Callithrix jacchus: one gene and its partner. The protein of the gene in region 1 interacts with the protein of each later gene in a pairwise test. Links are inferred from orthologs where the notes say so. Each region holds a gene or a part of one and is shown in the gene's direction. Other genes may lie near its edges.

Region 1 (3,408 bases):
TGGGCCCCAGCCCCACCACCCGCTGCCCCACCTCAGGCAGATGCCCAGCTCCTGCCTCACCTCTAGTCTCCTCTCCACAACCCAGCGTCCAGGCACTCCGGACTCTGCCTCCCGCCCGGGTCCAATCCATTCTTCTGCTGTAGGGCCAGGTGATCCCGAGGGCCACAGTCCCACTCACATATTTTCTCCCACCAGGCATGCCCACGTGCCGGTGCCCCACGGGCTTCACGGGCCCCAAATGCACCCAGCAGGTGTGTGCAGGCTACTGTGCCAACAACAGCACCTGCACCGTCAACCAGGGCAACCAGCCCCAGTGCCGATGCCTACCTGGCTTCCTGGGCGACCGCTGCCAGTACCGTGAGTGAGCCATCCCTGGGCCCCAAGGCAGGCAGGAGGGTGACGGAGGACCCCAGAGCATGGGGTAATGGTCCACCTGTGCCTGGGACCCACAGGGGCCAGTTCAGGAAGGCAGGCCTTTTGCAGCTGAGCCAGGCCCATGTGGCTGGCGCTTCCCCACAAAGATGCAGTGCACCCCCAGCACCAGGATTATCCAGAGAGAAAAGCTGTGCTCAACGTATATAGAACCCGTATGAGGGTGGGGCCTGACTTCCTCTCCCTTGCCAACCACAGGGCAGTGCTCTGGCTACTGTGAGAACTTTGGCACCTGCCAGATGGCCGCCGATGGCTCCCGACAATGCCGCTGCACTGCCTACTTCGAGGGGCCGAGGTGTGAGGTGAACAAGTGCAGCCGCTGTCTTGAAGGAGCCTGTGTTGTCAATAAGCAGAGTGGGGATGTCACCTGCAAGTGAGTGGGGCTCTCCTCCACAGGTCCACCCCGCCCGGCCCCTGCCCTGTCCCAGTCCTGCCCAGCCCTTCCTCAGCATCCCACACACACCTCTGCCAGCCCCAGCCCCAGCCTCTGATTTCCTCCTACAGCTGCACAGACGGCCGGGTGGCCCCCAGCTGTCTCACCTGTGTTGGCCACTGCAGCAATGGCGGCTCCTGCACCATGAACAGCAAAATGATGCCTGAGTGCCAGTGAGTTGGGCCTGGGCTTCACCCAGGCATAGAGCATCCCTCCCTTCCCCAGATCTGAGCAGGACTGCCGGGCCTCAGCGCCCACCCTCCATGCCCTGTCTCCCTGGCAGCAGTGGCTATGGAAGTTATGCCTACTCAGCCATGTCCCTCCTTTCTGCAGGTGCCCGCCCCACATGACAGGGCCCCGGTGTGAGGAGCATGTCTTCAGCCAGCAGCAGCCAGGACGTAGGTGGCAGGGGTGGGGCAGGCAGGGCCGCCGGAACCTAGATCAGGGGGACCGTGTGCCTCCTGCTTCCCTGAGCCTTGGTGACTCAGTATCCCACCTCTTCCCTCCAGATATGGCCTCCATTCTCATCCCTCTGCTGTTGCTGCTGCTGCTGCTTCTGGTGGCCGGAGTGGTATTCTGGTATAAGCGGCGAGTCCAAGGGTGAGTCACAGGCAATCTGGAACGTTCTGGCCATTGTTGCCATCCTGTAATAATGCCAACCCCCAATAATCTCTGTCTCCTTATCCTCCTACCTCTCATCAGGGCTAAGGGCTTCCAACACCAGCGGATGACCAACGGGGCCATGAACGTGGAGATTGGGAACCCCACCTACAAGATGTATGAGGGCGGAGAGCCTGATGACGTGGGAGGCCTCCTGGATGCCGACTTTGCCCTGGACCCTGACAAGGTGGGCTGGGAGGCAGGCAGGGTGGAGGGCCATGAGGCGGTAGGTGGCCTAACCAAAGGTGTTGGGTTAGGTGAGGGGGCGGAGGAGGGGGTGAGGTGATTTGGGCCACAGGCCAGCCGCTGAGCCCCACCTGAACCCTGTCACCCTGCAGCCCACCAACTTCACCAACCCCGTGTATGCCACACTCTACATGGGCGGCCACGGCAGTCGCCACTCCTTGGCCAGCACGGATGAGAAGCGAGAACTCCTGGGCCGGGGCCCTGAGGACGAGATAGGGGACCCCTTGGCATAGGGCCCTGCCCCGTCGGACTCCCCCCAGAGAGCCTCCTGCCCCCTCCAGAGAAGTCCTTCAGCGAGCCCCTCCCCAGCAAGCCCCTCCCCGGCCCCGCTGGATGTATAAATGTAAAAATGAAGGAATTACGTTTTATATGTGAGCGAGCAAGCCAGCAAGCGAGCACAGTATTAACTCTCCATCCCCTCCCTGCCTGCTCCTCGACACCCCCATCCTGCCTTCAGGGAGGCAGGCAGGGAGGGCTTGGGGCTGCACTTCCACCCTCCCACCAGAACGCACCCCACTGGGAGAGCGGGGACTGCTGACCCCTCACTGTATAAGACACTTTGCAAAGGCTCTCCCCTACTCCTGCTTACCTGCTCCCACAGCTCCCTGAGGGCTAATTCTGGGGAGGGAGAGTTCTTTGCTGCCCCTGTCTGGAAGCTGTGGCTCTGGCTGAGGTGGGCAGGAAAGGATGGAGTGTTTTAGTTCTTGGGGAAGGCCACCCCAAATCCCAGCCCCGACTCCAGGGGCCCCTATGAGATGGCCATGCTCAGTCCCCCTCTCAGACAGGCCCTCCCCATCTCCAGGGCCCCCACTGAGGTTCCCAGGGCTGGAGACTTCCTCTGGTAAACATTCCCCCAACCTCCCCTCTCCTGGGGATGCCGAGGAGATGGGCCACACCGAGGAAGGGCAAGTGGGCAGCCCCGTTTTGGGGACGTGAACGTTTTAATAATTTTTGCTGAATTCCTTTACAACTAAATAACACAGATATTGTTATAAATAAAATTGTAAAAAAAAAAGCCAAAAAAAAAAAAGAAAGAAAAAAAAAGCCACTGGTGTCTGCCTGTGTGTGGGAGACGCTGGGAGCTGGGGCTGCACTTGCCGCTTTGGCCACCAGAGGGAGACCTGCTCCGTGCTGGAGGCAGACGAGCTAGTTTTCAGTGCCCTTCCCTCTCCATCTTGCTGTGCCCGGGAAGCGGGTGGCACTGGACTTGACAAGGAAGATCTGCTTCTCCTGGCTGTGTGACCTTCAGCTGTGACTTCGAGTCTCTGGATCGTGTGTTCCTTCTAGCTCTAGGATGCTAACTTAGATCTGTTTCTCTGCATTCACCTCTACTGGACACCACCCCCCTACCCAAAATGATCTCCCACAGTGAGAAGCTCCACTATAAGAAGTGACTACATTGAGGCTGAGAAGGCTTTCCTATCCTTCAGGGTGCTCCCGTGCGATTCTCTCTGCCTGCATTTGCTCTTGAAGCACTGACATTTGTGGAGACGAATGAATCAGATGTGAAGTACAATGCTGCATTCCAGAGCCCAGGGGTCTCCTGGGATGAAGGAGAGCTGGGAAGACCAGTTTGCCAGGCCCTTAGCAGCTCCAGCTCACCAATCATTTTAGCCATTCCAGGGGGTAACAGGAAA
Region 2 (3,805 bases), on another chromosome or scaffold:
CATCTACAAAGGGGGTTTCAGGTCTGTTCTGGCACCCTCATGAAATGATGGTGCAAGAAACATAGGTATACTGCTTGGCATGTCTCGGGTGTACAATCAGAATTTTATTTATTATTATTGTTACTGCTTCCAGAGACTAAGACAGGAAGTAGCTCCTTCAACTGCCCACAAGACGAGAGAAGCCAGGAGCTCTTGAGACCTAGGGTAGTAACAATTAGGGCCAGACTTAAGGGAGACTCAGGGCTACCCTAAATCCTTTTGGGAGCCGCCCTGGCAGAGGGCCTGAGGCAGACAGGGTGGAGTCTGGTGGAATCCGCAGTGCTCTGGGGCAGGAAGAAACCGCCAAGACACCCCTGGAATAACTCCCATGGCTGCCGGCTGCTATTACACCAGACAGATGGCACCACACTACCTCTCAGACCTTCCTTGGCCCCTGAGTCCTAAAGGCCCCCACTGAGGGGTTTACCCAGCATTGCTACTGGTTGGGCCCCTTGGCTTTGTCATAGGGAAGATGGCTCTCTCCTGTCCCTAATGATCTGAATGCTGCCAGGAGGTTTCTGGCACCTGGAGAGCTGGGGTCAGATGGGGATCCCTGCTATGTCTTTTTAGAACAGGAAGAAGGATTGGCTAGCCAGGAAATGGAAGACAGAACACAGGGCTAGGTTTTAGAGCCCAGAGCTCCTCTCAGCCCCTAAGAGTGTAGGTAGCTAGATATGGTGTCGGGAGAGTGGTTACCGTAGGAGCATGTGGTGTGCCTTGGGGAGGGGGTGCCTCTCTCTTTGTTGACCTCCTGCTACCCCCAGAGACTCAGTAAGCTCTGCCAGGCAAGAGGAAACCAAGGAGTGAGGATAACCCCCGGCCCCCTGTACCCCAACCTTCCACCCTCCGGCCAGATGAGGAAGAGGCAGAGGCCTCCAGATTTGGGGAATGGTCTCAGGGCCCTGACTTAGCTTCTTAAAGTTCAGGCACCTGTTCTGGACTCTCACCCTGCCCTCTCCCCAACTGCACTATCAGAGCCTTGGAGAGGGCAGCCCCCTAGCTAGGCAGGGCCCCCAGGCACTACTGGCCAGAGGTGTGTCCCTGAGGGGCCGCAGATGAGCTCCAGCGGGCTTCACACGCGTTCCAGTGAGTCCTCTGCTTTCTTGAAGGCTGGGAGGCAGTAGTGTTTTCTCCACTCAACTGATGAGGGGGTCTGAAGGGCCAGGGGATCTGTCCAAGGTGCCAGGAGTTGGCGGCAGAACTGGAGCTAGGATGGGGCTTCGCACCCTCAAGGCAGGCTCGCGGAGGGCCGATCTCGGGCTGGAGGGGCCTGGGCCGGCGGACTGAGGGCAGGGCTACCACCACCTTGGTTCCGGGGCCCCGCTCGCCCCTTCCTCTCCGCGTCCTCTTCCCGGCCCTCTCAGGTCTCCACGGTTCCTTGCCTGGCTGAGCCTCAGTTTAACCAGTTTTCCTTACCGCCCCTTCAAATACTATTTCTCCCGCCCCCATCCCTTGGGGGGCCTGGAACTCCTTGGCGACTACTGAGTCCCCATAGCAACAGCGGTGACTTCACTCTGGGCTCGGCTTACAACCCCGGTGAGGTCACCGGCCGTTGCCAAGGGAACGGGAGGGTGCAAGGAGTCGGAGTGGGGACAGTAGTGGGGGTGCAGGCCGTCAGAGGCATGGCTGGAGTTGGGAGGAGGCGGCTTTGAGCTTCCTTGTTGGGGGCAGGCGAGAGCGCCCCTGTCTCTGGCGGCCCCCCCGCTCCGCTCCCTTCGTTCCCCCTTCGCGCCACGGAATGGACTCGCCCGGGCGGGGGGCGGTGCAAGCAGCCTCTGCCCCGCCCATTCCCCGCCCCCTGACGCCCCTCCGTGCACCACGCAGCCCCCGCGCGCCGGGCTGCTGTCTGCGGGCGGCGGCAGTGCGGGGAGCCGGCTGCAGGCCGAGATGCTGCAGATGGACCTGATCGACGCGGCAGGGGACACTCCCGGGGCCGAGGATGACGAGGAGGACGACGACGAGGAGCGCGCAGCCCGGAGGTCGGGAGCGGGGCCGCCCAAGGCCGAGTCCAGCCAGGAGCCAGTGTCCCGTGGCCAGGGCCAGGGCCAGAGCCAGGGCCAGGGACTGGGCCCAGGCAGCGGGGACACGTACCGGCCCAAGCGGCCCACTACGCTCAACCTCTTTCCGCAGGTGCCGCGGTCTCAGGTGAGGCGCCAAAACGGAGGGGGCGGTGCCCTGGGGCGCCGGAGATGTGAGGGGGAGCGCCGAGGGGCTGCAGCGGGAGGGGCACCCTCGGGTCCGGTGCCTGGGGACAGCGCCTGCATAGAGGCCGCAGTGGCTCCCTCCCGGGGGTGGGCTCTGAGGAGCAGGCAGGTCCGTCCTTAGGAAGAGGGCTGAGTTCATGCTGGGCTTAGAACCTTGAGGAGGGATTGGAGGAGGGAAGGACTGGAGTTAGGAGTAGGGAATTAAGAGAACAGAGCTTTGAGGGGTTGGGTTTGAAGCGTGGAACCTCAGGCTGTGACAGGGTTTCTCCTTTAGGGTATGTGGTTCCTGGTGAAAGTGGGTCAGGAGCAGGGCCTGGAGAAAAGGGCATCTGAAATGGTCAGCAAGGGGGATGCCATGGAAGATTGTGGAGAGGTGGGGACAGGGAACTCAGGAGCCACAGCCAGTTTGAGATCTGGGCAGCTGGGAATTCCCAGAAGGCAGGGGAGAGGAATGGGGGATGGAGCTGTTTGGCTGAGTTGGGGGCCTAGGGCCCCTGGGAGGGTGGCCAGATGCCAAGGAGAGTTGAATAGGGTTGGGGGAGCCGGCTGTGGCCTTTTGTCTTCCAGAACCATTGGGAGCAGTGCAGGGAAGTTGCTTCTGGGAAGTGGGGTGGCAGGGAAAGGCTTGGTCCCTTTCCCAGGATCCTGTGAATGGCTTTTGGCAATCCAGTTCAGGAACGTGAGGGCTTGCGAGAGCACTCCCAGGGGAGAGAGCCTTGGTGGAGTGGAGGGAGCCCTGTGTGGGCATTGTGGGGAGGGTCCTGGGGCTGAGAATGTGGAATGGGCAGCCCAGGAGATCCAGGAAGGAGGGCTGCTGACAACTGCCTCTGTCACTCCTCAGTCACGTGCCACTGTGGGGGGGGGGGCAGGTGCAGGAAAACTCTGTTATGGATTTGTCACTGGGATAGTTCATCCCAGTCCCCCAGGCCAGCTGCTGGGGAGACCCTTCCTTGTGCTTTTTCCAGGTCCCCACCCCTTCTAGGCCATAACTTCGCAAGCTCCAGAGCAGAGAATTACCTGTCTCTGACTTGGGCTGGATTTGAGCTTTTGCCAAGTAACCCTCAGTGTCTGGAACTGGGGGTCTTACTGTGTCTCCAAAGAGCTACCACTTCTCTTCTCCCCCCCCAGTCTCCTCCTCTTGCCGAACCACACACACTGGCCATTGCCATCTTTGTTAAAGCTGATAAGAACATCTCCCTGAGGGTTGGCCAGCTTCCCTGAGCAAGGCGGAGGGCCATCCGGAGCCAGCAGGCCTGGCTGTGACTTGCCACCCCTGCTGCCTGCTCCAGAGGGGAGTTGGGAGTGAGGCCTTTGACAGTGGAGGCGGGATGGGCATAGCAGACGCCCTAGGGATGGCCTGAGGGGGCAGGGCCGGGGCCTCCCTGTGCCCGGCACTGCTGACCACTTCCATCACAAGAGCCTTTTGTTCCCCGAACAGGACACACTGAATAATAATTCTCTGGGCAAAAAGCACAGTTGGCAGGATCGGGTGTCTCGATCATCCTCACCCCTGAAGACAGGTAAGTCAGGGCCCTCTTCCTTACCTGGACCTCACCCTGCCC

Evidence for each region.
Region 2: the proteins of LRP1 (region 1) and MAPK8IP1 interact in a two-hybrid assay, tested with the Homo sapiens proteins (2 studies listed by BioGRID). The link is inferred for Callithrix jacchus from reciprocal best matches to the Homo sapiens genes LRP1 and MAPK8IP1.

Annotation. Positions count from the first base shown.
Region 1 is NC_133510.1:62,493,080-62,496,487, reverse strand, and holds the end of LRP1 (prolow-density lipoprotein receptor-related protein 1), read left to right. Parts: intron 1-195; coding exon 196-357; intron 358-630; coding exon 631-805; intron 806-936; coding exon 937-1,038; intron 1,039-1,198; coding exon 1,199-1,263; intron 1,264-1,374; coding exon 1,375-1,465; intron 1,466-1,567; coding exon 1,568-1,712; intron 1,713-1,863; coding exon 1,864-2,004; 3' UTR 2,005-2,680; downstream 2,681-3,408. UniProt on the Homo sapiens protein: Endocytic receptor involved in endocytosis and in phagocytosis of apoptotic cells. Required for early embryonic development. Involved in cellular lipid homeostasis.
Region 2 is NC_133511.1:110,923,362-110,927,166, forward strand, and holds part of MAPK8IP1 (C-Jun-amino-terminal kinase-interacting protein 1), read left to right. Parts: intron 1-1,863; coding exon 1,864-2,184; intron 2,185-3,681; coding exon 3,682-3,763; intron 3,764-3,805. UniProt on the Homo sapiens protein: The JNK-interacting protein (JIP) group of scaffold proteins selectively mediates JNK signaling by aggregating specific components of the MAPK cascade to form a functional JNK signaling module. Required for JNK activation in response to excitotoxic stress.